Arabidopsis thaliana: one gene and its partner. The protein of the gene in region 2 interacts with the protein of the main gene of each other region in a pairwise test. Each region holds a gene or a part of one and is shown on either strand. Other genes may lie near its edges.

What was found. Proteins that work in one complex are often made in the same cells at the same time.
Region 1: the proteins of AT1G61420 (region 2) and AT1G54540 interact in a protein complementation assay, tested with the Arabidopsis thaliana proteins (one large-scale study listed by BioGRID).

The regions. Positions count from the first base shown.
Region 1 is NC_003070.9:20,367,038-20,370,492, reverse strand, and holds AT1G54540 (Late embryogenesis abundant (LEA) hydroxyproline-rich glycoprotein family), read left to right. Parts: upstream 1-1,981; 5' UTR 1,982-2,071; coding exon 2,072-2,791; 3' UTR 2,792-2,940; downstream 2,941-3,455. Other genes in the region: AT1G54550 (F-box and associated interaction domains-containing protein), read right to left, coding at 1-804.
Region 2 is NC_003070.9:22,660,022-22,665,993, forward strand, and holds AT1G61420 (S-locus lectin protein kinase family protein), read right to left. Parts: upstream 4,154-5,972; 5' UTR 3,576-4,153; coding exon 2,321-3,575; intron 2,192-2,320; coding exon 2,081-2,191; intron 1,964-2,080; coding exon 1,794-1,963; intron 1,715-1,793; coding exon 1,504-1,714; intron 1,408-1,503; coding exon 1,170-1,407; intron 1,071-1,169; coding exon 920-1,070; exon of another isoform or gene 830-919; coding exon 536-829; downstream 1-535. Other genes in the region: AT1G61415 (CAP-gly domain linker), read left to right, coding at 33-126, 213-399; AT1G61430 (S-locus lectin protein kinase family protein), read right to left, coding at 4,648-4,944, 5,034-5,184, 5,268-5,505, 5,584-5,794, 5,861-5,972.

The DNA.
Region 1 (3,455 bases), 2.3 Mb from region 2:
AAAAGTGGTCCATGATACTGCACTGGGATCAATCTTAGTCGAAATACAAATCTCTATTGTGCCAAATCTGTTGAGGTGGCTGTATAACACAGCGAGTTTCTCATTTCTAACACAAGATAGAGTCAAATATTCAAAACGACGAGATGGAGGTTTAAACAGCATAGGCAAACGTGGTCCCTTTCGACCAAAAAAGTAAGTATTTCCCTTCAAAGACACGCTATTGTGACTAAACAGTTCATGCCAATCTATATCAATATCAAGAACCCTCCATGAATCAGAGCTAAAATCGTAAACATCAATAATGACGTTTCTTGGACTCCCCTCATAAAGAAACCTCAAAATTTTGTGGTTACGGTTGTTGTCGTATCCAAGAGCAAACTTGTCATATCTGTGGAGTTTTTTTCTTGGTTGAATCAATTTCGTCTGCCCTAAATACGGATTCCATACCATAACACTCGAGTTGTCTTTGGCGATGCATAACAATAAGCCATCACAGTGATAGACTTGAGATATCTCGACTTGATCAACTTTATTAGGTATACTTATTTGCTTTATAGATAGATCAATCAAATCTTCTTCGCTACGGATTCCTTGAAGATCTAATCTCAAAGAACAAACCCTAGAATCTGTAACCATGAACTCCAAGAACTGATTCTTTGCTGCTGCTTTTTTACCTAAGATGTCATATTTCGATATAGCGTTCCACTTTTTACAAGTAGATCTCACTGCTCTTAGAGATGTCAATGGAACCCTAGAAAATATTTCTCTTACCAAATCATCCGGTAGATCGGTTACTGTCGCCATTCTTCCTCCAAGTTTTCAGCTTTCTCCACAAGTTTAATGTCTCATTGACCTATTCGGTACCCTAATATGTTTGTATATGTGTTTTGGTTGGGCTTGTAATAAAGTTTTGCTTTGGCACAGATTTTTTAAATGGGCCTATTATTTGGAAAAAAATAAACCATCGAATCCTTAACTATATCATATGGTAAAATTACGAAATCGTTTAGCAACTGATTTTCAGTTTTACTTAAAAACTACGAAGCTCTTGATTTAGTTCGTAGAGTGCACCACCACATATTTAGTAATCTCTTTATAGATCAGATGATATGTGACTAACATAAATTTCCAGAGTAGATGAGTGATGACTATATATTAATTGGGAAACTTTGACATCTATCACTTTTACGATTCCATTTCTCAAAATAAACTACTAAAGACTTTTTTTTTAAAAGGATGCAAAAGAATCCTAAGATAGAGTGTTTTGAGAAGTCTATTAGCCCATGGAACTAGAGTTTTAGCTAGCAAAAGCATATAAATTTATGGTTAGAACATCCATGGAAGGTAACTTTGTTTGAGAGTTGTCCTCTCAAAACAACTCTCTTCCTTCATCTTAATAAGAGTATCAATTTCGAATCATAGTGTTCTTGGTGACAACGAAGTAATATTTTCTCTATCAGTACCCTTGCATCATAAAGTTTTAATAATCTATCTAAGTTCTTAGTTTCTATCTTAATAAGTTTGAATCTTTCTTCTTTTGAGATTGCTTACAAAAAAATCATTCAAGAATCAATTTATAAAACCTTATATAACTTTATAAATATTTTCTATAAAATGTATTTAAAGAAATTATAAATCCTTTTGTGGTGTTTTTGAAAAAAAAAATTAGTGATAGTTATGAAATGTATCATAAAAATTGTAGTTTTCAAATTCTTCCTCAAGAATTTGATTATACGGGTTGTTGCTGAACATAGAGATGAACAAAAAGAAGATATGTGTTGAAAACATTGGAATGTTGCCAAAGTCGTCATCCTAACTAAACCAATATACCGAATGATTTATTGTTTTTGTTTTATTATCGAATTAAATACAAAAAGATTACTGTAACTGTTGAACAACCTCTAGTCTTTCTAATATATTCTGATTAATTCAACGTTATAGGTGAGGAAGGTAAGATGTTGGTAAAAGTCATGCATGGAAACAACTTCACAAGACAAAACTTTGATATAAAATAAAGTACATATAATACATGTTGGTGCATTAGTATTACTAAATACAAAGTTGTAGATCCATGGGAGATCAACAAAAAATTCACCCGGTTCTTCAAATGGAAGCCAACAAGACGAAGACAACAACACCAGCTCCCGGAAAGACAGTCTTGCTTCCGGTTCAACGGCCGATTCCGCCTCCTGTTATTCCTAGTAAGAATCGAAATATGTGCTGCAAAATCTTTTGTTGGGTGTTAAGCCTTCTAGTCATTGCATTGATCGCGTTAGCAATTGCGGTTGCGGTTGTATACTTTGTTTTCCACCCTAAACTCCCGAGTTACGAAGTCAACAGTTTACGAGTTACCAACCTTGGAATCAATCTAGACCTCTCTCTTTCCGCGGAGTTTAAAGTCGAGATCACAGCTCGTAATCCCAACGAAAAGATTGGGATTTATTACGAGAAAGGAGGTCATATCGGTGTGTGGTACGACAAGACAAAGCTATGTGAAGGCCCTATACCGAGGTTTTATCAAGGACATCGCAATGTAACTAAACTAAATGTGGCTCTAACGGGAAGAGCGCAATATGGGAACACTGTCTTGGCGGCATTGCAGCAGCAACAACAAACAGGACGTGTACCGTTAGATCTTAAAGTGAATGCACCTGTCGCCATCAAACTCGGAAATCTGAAGATGAAGAAGATTCGGATATTGGGGAGTTGTAAGCTTGTTGTTGATAGTTTATCAACGAACAATAATATCAACATCAAAGCTAGTGATTGCAGTTTTAAGGCCAAACTCTGAGATGTTCTTAGATCTAGGCGCTTTTACTTTTTATTGGTGTTAATTACTCAATTCATCATTTTCTTATGCATTTGATTCATATTTTGGATTAATGGTTTTATTCTCAATAAAAGATTGATTTTTATTTTTTAAATTACGAGAGATTTTTGAAATTTCAAAATATTGCAAATGAATGGTTCTTTTCCGCTTAACATAATTTCTATGAAGTAGTCGGAACGAGACTCTCTTCTAGAGAGAGAGAGAGTCATTCAGGAACCGACGTGCTTACATGGGAAAAAAACCTATTGCGATCTCATGTCTTTTTCCAAGGCAATCGATCCGCACATTAAAACGACGAGAAAGAAAATTAATACTAGAAGAGGGAAAAAAACATACAAGGGAACCAAATGTCGTCATCTCAACTACAAATGTTGGCTACACTGAAAGTTTTTCAATAGAGATAAGATCTTCACGGTCGAAAGCAAAAGAGCAACTCGTAACACCTATCGAGATTATAAATTCTATTGCCCATAGCATGGAATCAACTTCAGCATGAATGGTTTGGTAGTGTGAATCACATCTATACTATTTTTTCAATGGTAAAACTTTCGAAAATTACAATAGAATTGAAATATAAAATTTCGAGAAAATTCAAACGATCTCGAGTTTAATTCATCCCAAGTAA
Region 2 (5,972 bases):
AATCTCTATCACTATGTTTTATTTTCTTAAAGCTGATTCAAGAAACTCTCTGAAGCTATTGGAGGATGAGATTTGTCGTTTGAGAAATGAGCATAGTGAGCTAATTACAAGACTAACCGAGAAGCGGTAAACATCGATTGTGTTGTAAACAAGCATTTGTGTTCTTGATCCTCTGATTGATAAAGCATTGCTTATGGAATTTTTTTACACAGGGAAGGTTTTGTGAAGATGTGTTTTGGGTTTCAAAGGGAGATTGAAGACAGTGAATTCAGGAATTTATTGTTGGAAAGAGAGTTTCTCGACAACGAAGTTCGGATGTTGGAGGAGAAGAACTTAGATGTGAAGAACTCTATTTTGGCTTACATGGAAGATGAAATGATGAATCTATTATCTGATTAGTGTTTCTGGTCACATTATCTTCAACACCATGGATCATTGGTGCACCAGAATGGAGGTTCATGTATACAAAAAATATGTTACAAAAAGAATAAAAGGTGAAGTTTGTTATCAACGCCCTAAGATCAAACATCATTTCTTAACGCCCTAAGATCACAGACTTTGTCATCTCATTCACAGTGATCAAATCCTCAGACGATGATTTGTCATCTCTCCTGTGCACTACAAATGTCGGTTGTTCTGGTGGTGGAAGATCTGATGTTGTGGTGAGCATAGACAGCAACTCAAGTGTGTTGGGTCTATCTGCAGGTTGGTGTTGAACACAGAGCAGACCGATCTGAACACATCTCTCAACTTCCAGTGGGCGACATGAATCGGCGACATCTTTGTCCAAGAGATCAATTCCTCCAGTATCACACCAAGATTCCCACGCCTGTTGTTCAGATTCAGGTCTTAAGAATATAAAAGCAAGAAACGTTTTGAGACATTTGCAACTGTATGAATACCTAAAAGTTGTACTTACATATGCAATAAGGGTTTTTTCTTCTTTGCCATAGCTGAATCTTGAGATCTTCTCCCCGCTTATGATTTCTAACATTAGAACTCCAAAGCTATAGATGTCGGACTTTTCAGAAAACATCCCAGTCCATGCATACTCAGGAGCCATATATCCTCTGTGCGAACATCGAATAGTTTCACCCAATGTTTAATAAACGATTATGAGTTTATGACTATGAATCTTGTTAACAATGTTATGGAAAATAGAGTCTTACAGAGTTCCTACAACCCTGCGAGTATTGTCCTGATATTCGGTTCCCTGATACATCCGAGCCAATCCAAAATCTGATATCTTTGGATTCATCTTCTCGTCAAGAAGAATATTGCTAACCTTCAGATCTCGGTGAATAACCTTGAGGTGTGAGTCACGATGGAGATAGTGAATTCCACGCGCAATACCTTGAATGATATCCAATCTCTTTGGCCAGTCAATCTCAAGCCTTTTTCTTGAATCTAAGCGACAATATAGAGTATGAACAATCAGATAAGACAGTTCCATGTAGAGAAAAAGTTGCTGATAGTAAAGGAATGAAGCAAGAAGGAACCCACCGAAGAGAAAGGTATCAAGGCTATTGTTCAACATGAACTCATAAATCAATAGCTTCTCTTCTCCTTCAATGCAACATCCCAAAATCCGAACTAAGTTTTTATGTTGTAGTTTTGAGATGAGTACTATTTCATTCATGAACTCCTCTTTGCCCTGGCCCGAGCTGCTAGAAAGCCGTTTTACAGCAATTTCTTTCCCATCTTGCAGCTTACCCTGAAACACATTGCATAAGGTCATCTGGAGAGCATAAGCAAAGAATAGAAAAGAGCAAAGAGGTTAAAAATTCTCTAACCTTATAAACAGGGCCAAATCCACCTTGTCCGAGTTTGTTTGATATACTGAAATTATTGGTGGCAGTTTGAATGGTATGCATATCAAAGAAATCTAAACCTGGGACATCTTGTGGTTTCAGATCATTCCTCCATGAAACTTGTGAAGCATCCGTTGTTATATCAGCTGAAACTAGTGTTTCAATTATAGATAATATAGGTCATCAGTGTCTTACCAATAGCAAGAAAATGAGTACTGTAAATAAAGAAAAGAAATCAATAGAGAGGGAGTAAGATCATCAGTTTTTACCATTATGTTTCACTCTATATCTCCAGAAACAAAACGCAACAAACGCAATTATCACAACAAGAGAAAGGCTCACAATACTAGCAGTAATGGCCTTCTTGCGCTTATTTCCACCTGTGACATATAAGACAAAAACAAATTAAACAATAAGCCATGCTGCTTCCGGTAAGAAGAGTATCAATGGAGTTGTAGATAAAGTTGTAAACGAAGTAATTCTTCCGTGTAATCATTTGAGCGCCATACCTAGTTCAGAACGTGCCAGACGAATGGAGAGAAGTTCTCCTCCTTCAGAAAATTGCACTGCGTCCATTAGGTCTTGGTTCCACATTAAGCACCCAATTCCATCGATATAAGCAAAGGCCAAGCAAGAACAATTGTGGAGGCAACTTTTCTGGCATTCTTCAACATTCACAAAACTTGCAAATTCGTAAAAGTCTGGAGGCTTTATCCTGGCAACAGGATGGAACACGTTTGCATATTTGCCAGTAGAGTTTCCTTGACAATATAGTTCGGTACGCCTCACACAACCACCAGTCCAGTTTCCTCTTTTCCACTCCTCAATGAGTTTAGGAACAAACCCTTTGAAACACGTACATTTTGGAGGAACAGACTTCACACATAACCCAAAAGGTCCACATACACCGTAGTAATCACATGAGTGTTCTGGAGCCACAAAGTTCAATACCCAGTCCGTCCCATTATGCCAAGACAACTCCTGTGTGCCCTTTGATGTTAGCATTGTACGTTGAAGTCTATCGTTTCTGTTTAAATAAGTGAGAGATCCTGACCCATTTGTATCCTGCTGAACGCTGACTGGACCTGTAAATGTGTCATCCATTAGCGGTATCCCCGTGAACCTTGTTTTAGCCCATGGACCGCTTCTATAATAAGGCGTTGATCCTTTCGTAACAAGCACCTGCGTTGGCACTTGTGGCGTAATCTGAAGCACAAAGTCGCCAACCGATGGATCAGTGTAACTTTTCCAAGAACTCAACACCTGCTTCTCGCCAGTGGCGAGGTTATACTTCAGGGTTGAGGAAGGAAGCATAGTATCACCAAGATGGTCAAAGCTTTGCCATAGAGTTCTTCCCGAAAAATTGTCTATGACAATAAGATTTCCGGTGTCTGAAAGCTCTGCACGAGACCCGTTAGAAACAAGAGCTTCTCCACTGGACCATGCAACGCCATGTTTGCCATTAAATAACAGAAGACTTCCATTGTTGCTGATAGCGAGATTTGCCGTGGAATCTGTAACAGGCTTTTCTCTATTGGCCACCCACACAACCACCCGGGGAATAATACCCTTGAACCAGATTCCGACATACTGATTCTGGGAGTTATTAAAATTGAAGAACCCCAGTTCATAAAAACCATTAGAGGAGCTGAGAGTTTGTCCTATTGGCAAAGGACTTTCTTTCGTTATCCCTGCAGAGCTAGAACTTATAAAGAAGCTAGATAAGAGCAAATAAGCAAAGAACACGATCCACTTCTTCCCCATATTTGTTATTTCTCTCCAAAAACTATCTTTTTTAGATTAGCTTTACATAAAGCGAGAAAGCAAGAAAAAAAAAAAAAAAAACTCTCTTTGCACATTTTTTGTTTTGTCAACTCAGGGACTGACTTGTGAGAATAATACAGAACAAAAATCATGCGTTATTTAATAATCTTTACTAATGTTCCAAAAATCATGCGTTATTTGATAATAGAGAACAAAAGTGTCAAAGCACGAATAAGTCCTTACCCAATCAGATACGCAACGTTGTCATTGTTCAATGCTATCAAGAACAAAAAGAAGAAGACTTTGGTTATCAAAGACTTTAGAATAAGTTACTGCAAATTTTCTTCTATTCCATTCAAAGACAATCATTTACTTAAATACACAAAAAAGGTGTTCAGAAAGTAACTGCTCACTAAACAAATAACAACGTGAATGAGTGGGAGACAATTCCAAGTCCTTATTAGCTCTGCATCAATAATAGAAACAATGCATACATGATAGATTGGCACGAAGAAGTCCTTACCCAATCAGATACGCAACGTTGTCATTGTTCAAGTCCTTATTAGTTCTGCATCAATCGAAAGAATCCAATCCTTGCTTCACCATTACAACACAATAACTTTCTTGAAATGCAGGCTATGTTTTATCTCGTTTAGACATTTCCTCGAACACTTGCAGTGCATAAAAAAAACCTCCGAGCCTCGCTAATGTCGTTAGACCCGTAATGACCCTAATCGACTGATTCCCAACTCCAACCATATGGGCTTAACTGTTTCTGTCCAAAAGAACCGAAGAATTCAACAGTCAACATTGGTGTGCCACTAGGCCCGAGAATAATCTCCCGGGAAGTCTTAAAATGAAGTAGAGTCAACGATTTGTTTTTGAGCAAAGTATTTTGTCAATTTAGTGGGAAGTGGAATCATGTAATCATGCCTAATAAAATATACCTTAGTCAATTTTACCAAACAGTTTCCACATAGATAAAAAGTTTCTGAATAATAAAGGAAGGGATGTAATTTTACAACCATTAGAAATTTTGATCCTTATAGAGAATAATTCCAATTCTACAGTTTCAACGTCCTTGGATCACAGACTCTGTCATCTCATTGACAGTGATCATCGAATCATTTGACGGTGATTCGTCTTTTCTAGTGTGCACTACAAATGTGGGTTTTTTGGGCAGAGGAAGATCTGATGTTGTGGTAAGCATAGACAGCAACTCAAGTGTGTTTGGTCTGTCTGCAGGCTCGTGTTGAACACAGAGCAAACCAATCTGTACACACCTTCCAACTTCAGATGGGTGACTAGAATCAGCAAGAGCTTGGTCCAAAAAATTAACTTCTCGGGTTTCACACCAACATTCCCATGCCTGTTTTTCAGTTTCCACTCTTAAGAATATCAAAGCAACAAACCTTTTGCAACCTCTGCAAATGCATGAAAACATAAAGTCTTACTAACATATGCAAGAAGTGCTTTTCCCTCCTCGCCATAGCTGAAACTTGAGATCTTCTTTCCGCTGATGATTTCTAACAACAGAACTCCGAAACTGTAGATATCGGATTTCTCAGAGAATACGCCAGTCCATGCATACTCAGGAGACATATATCCTCTGTTCAAAGATCAAATAGTTTCACCCAATTTAATATATGACTACCAATCTAGTTTAATATGTTATCAAGGGATGGTTCTTACAGAGTTCCGACAACCCTGCGAGTTTTTTCCTGATATTGGGTTCCCTGAAACATCCGAGCCAAACCAAAATCTGATATTTTCGGGTTCATTTTCTCATCCAGAAGAATGTTGCTGACCTTCAGGTCTCGGTGAATTACTCTGAGGCGTGAGTCACGGTGGAGATAGAGAAGTCCACGTGCAATACCTTCAATGATCTCAAATCTCTTTGGCCAATCAAGTTCGAGCTTTTTTCTTGCATCTAAGTATACAAGCTATCAGATAAGAAATTCCAGATATAAAGGGGAAAACTACACGAAAGGGGTAAGAAGTGACCCACCAAAGACAAAAGTATCCAGGCTTTTGTTTTTCAAGAACCCATAAATCAATAGCTTCTCTGTTCCTTCGACGCAGCATCCCAAAACCCGGACTAAGTTTCTGTGTTGGAGTTTTGATATCAGTACTATTTCATTCATGAACTCCTGTTTGCCCTGCCCAGAGCTGCTAGAAAGACGTTTTACCGCAATTTCTCTTCCATCTTGCAGTTTTCCCTGAAACAAGTTGCAAATGTCATGTCAAGAAATGACAGAAAAGAAAAAGAGCAAAGAGGATAAAACGTTTCTCGCCTTGTAAACAGAACCAAATCCACCAGGACCGAGTTTGTTTGATAGACTGAAATTATTGGTGGCAGTTTGTATGGCATTCATCTCAAAAAATTCTAAACCTGGG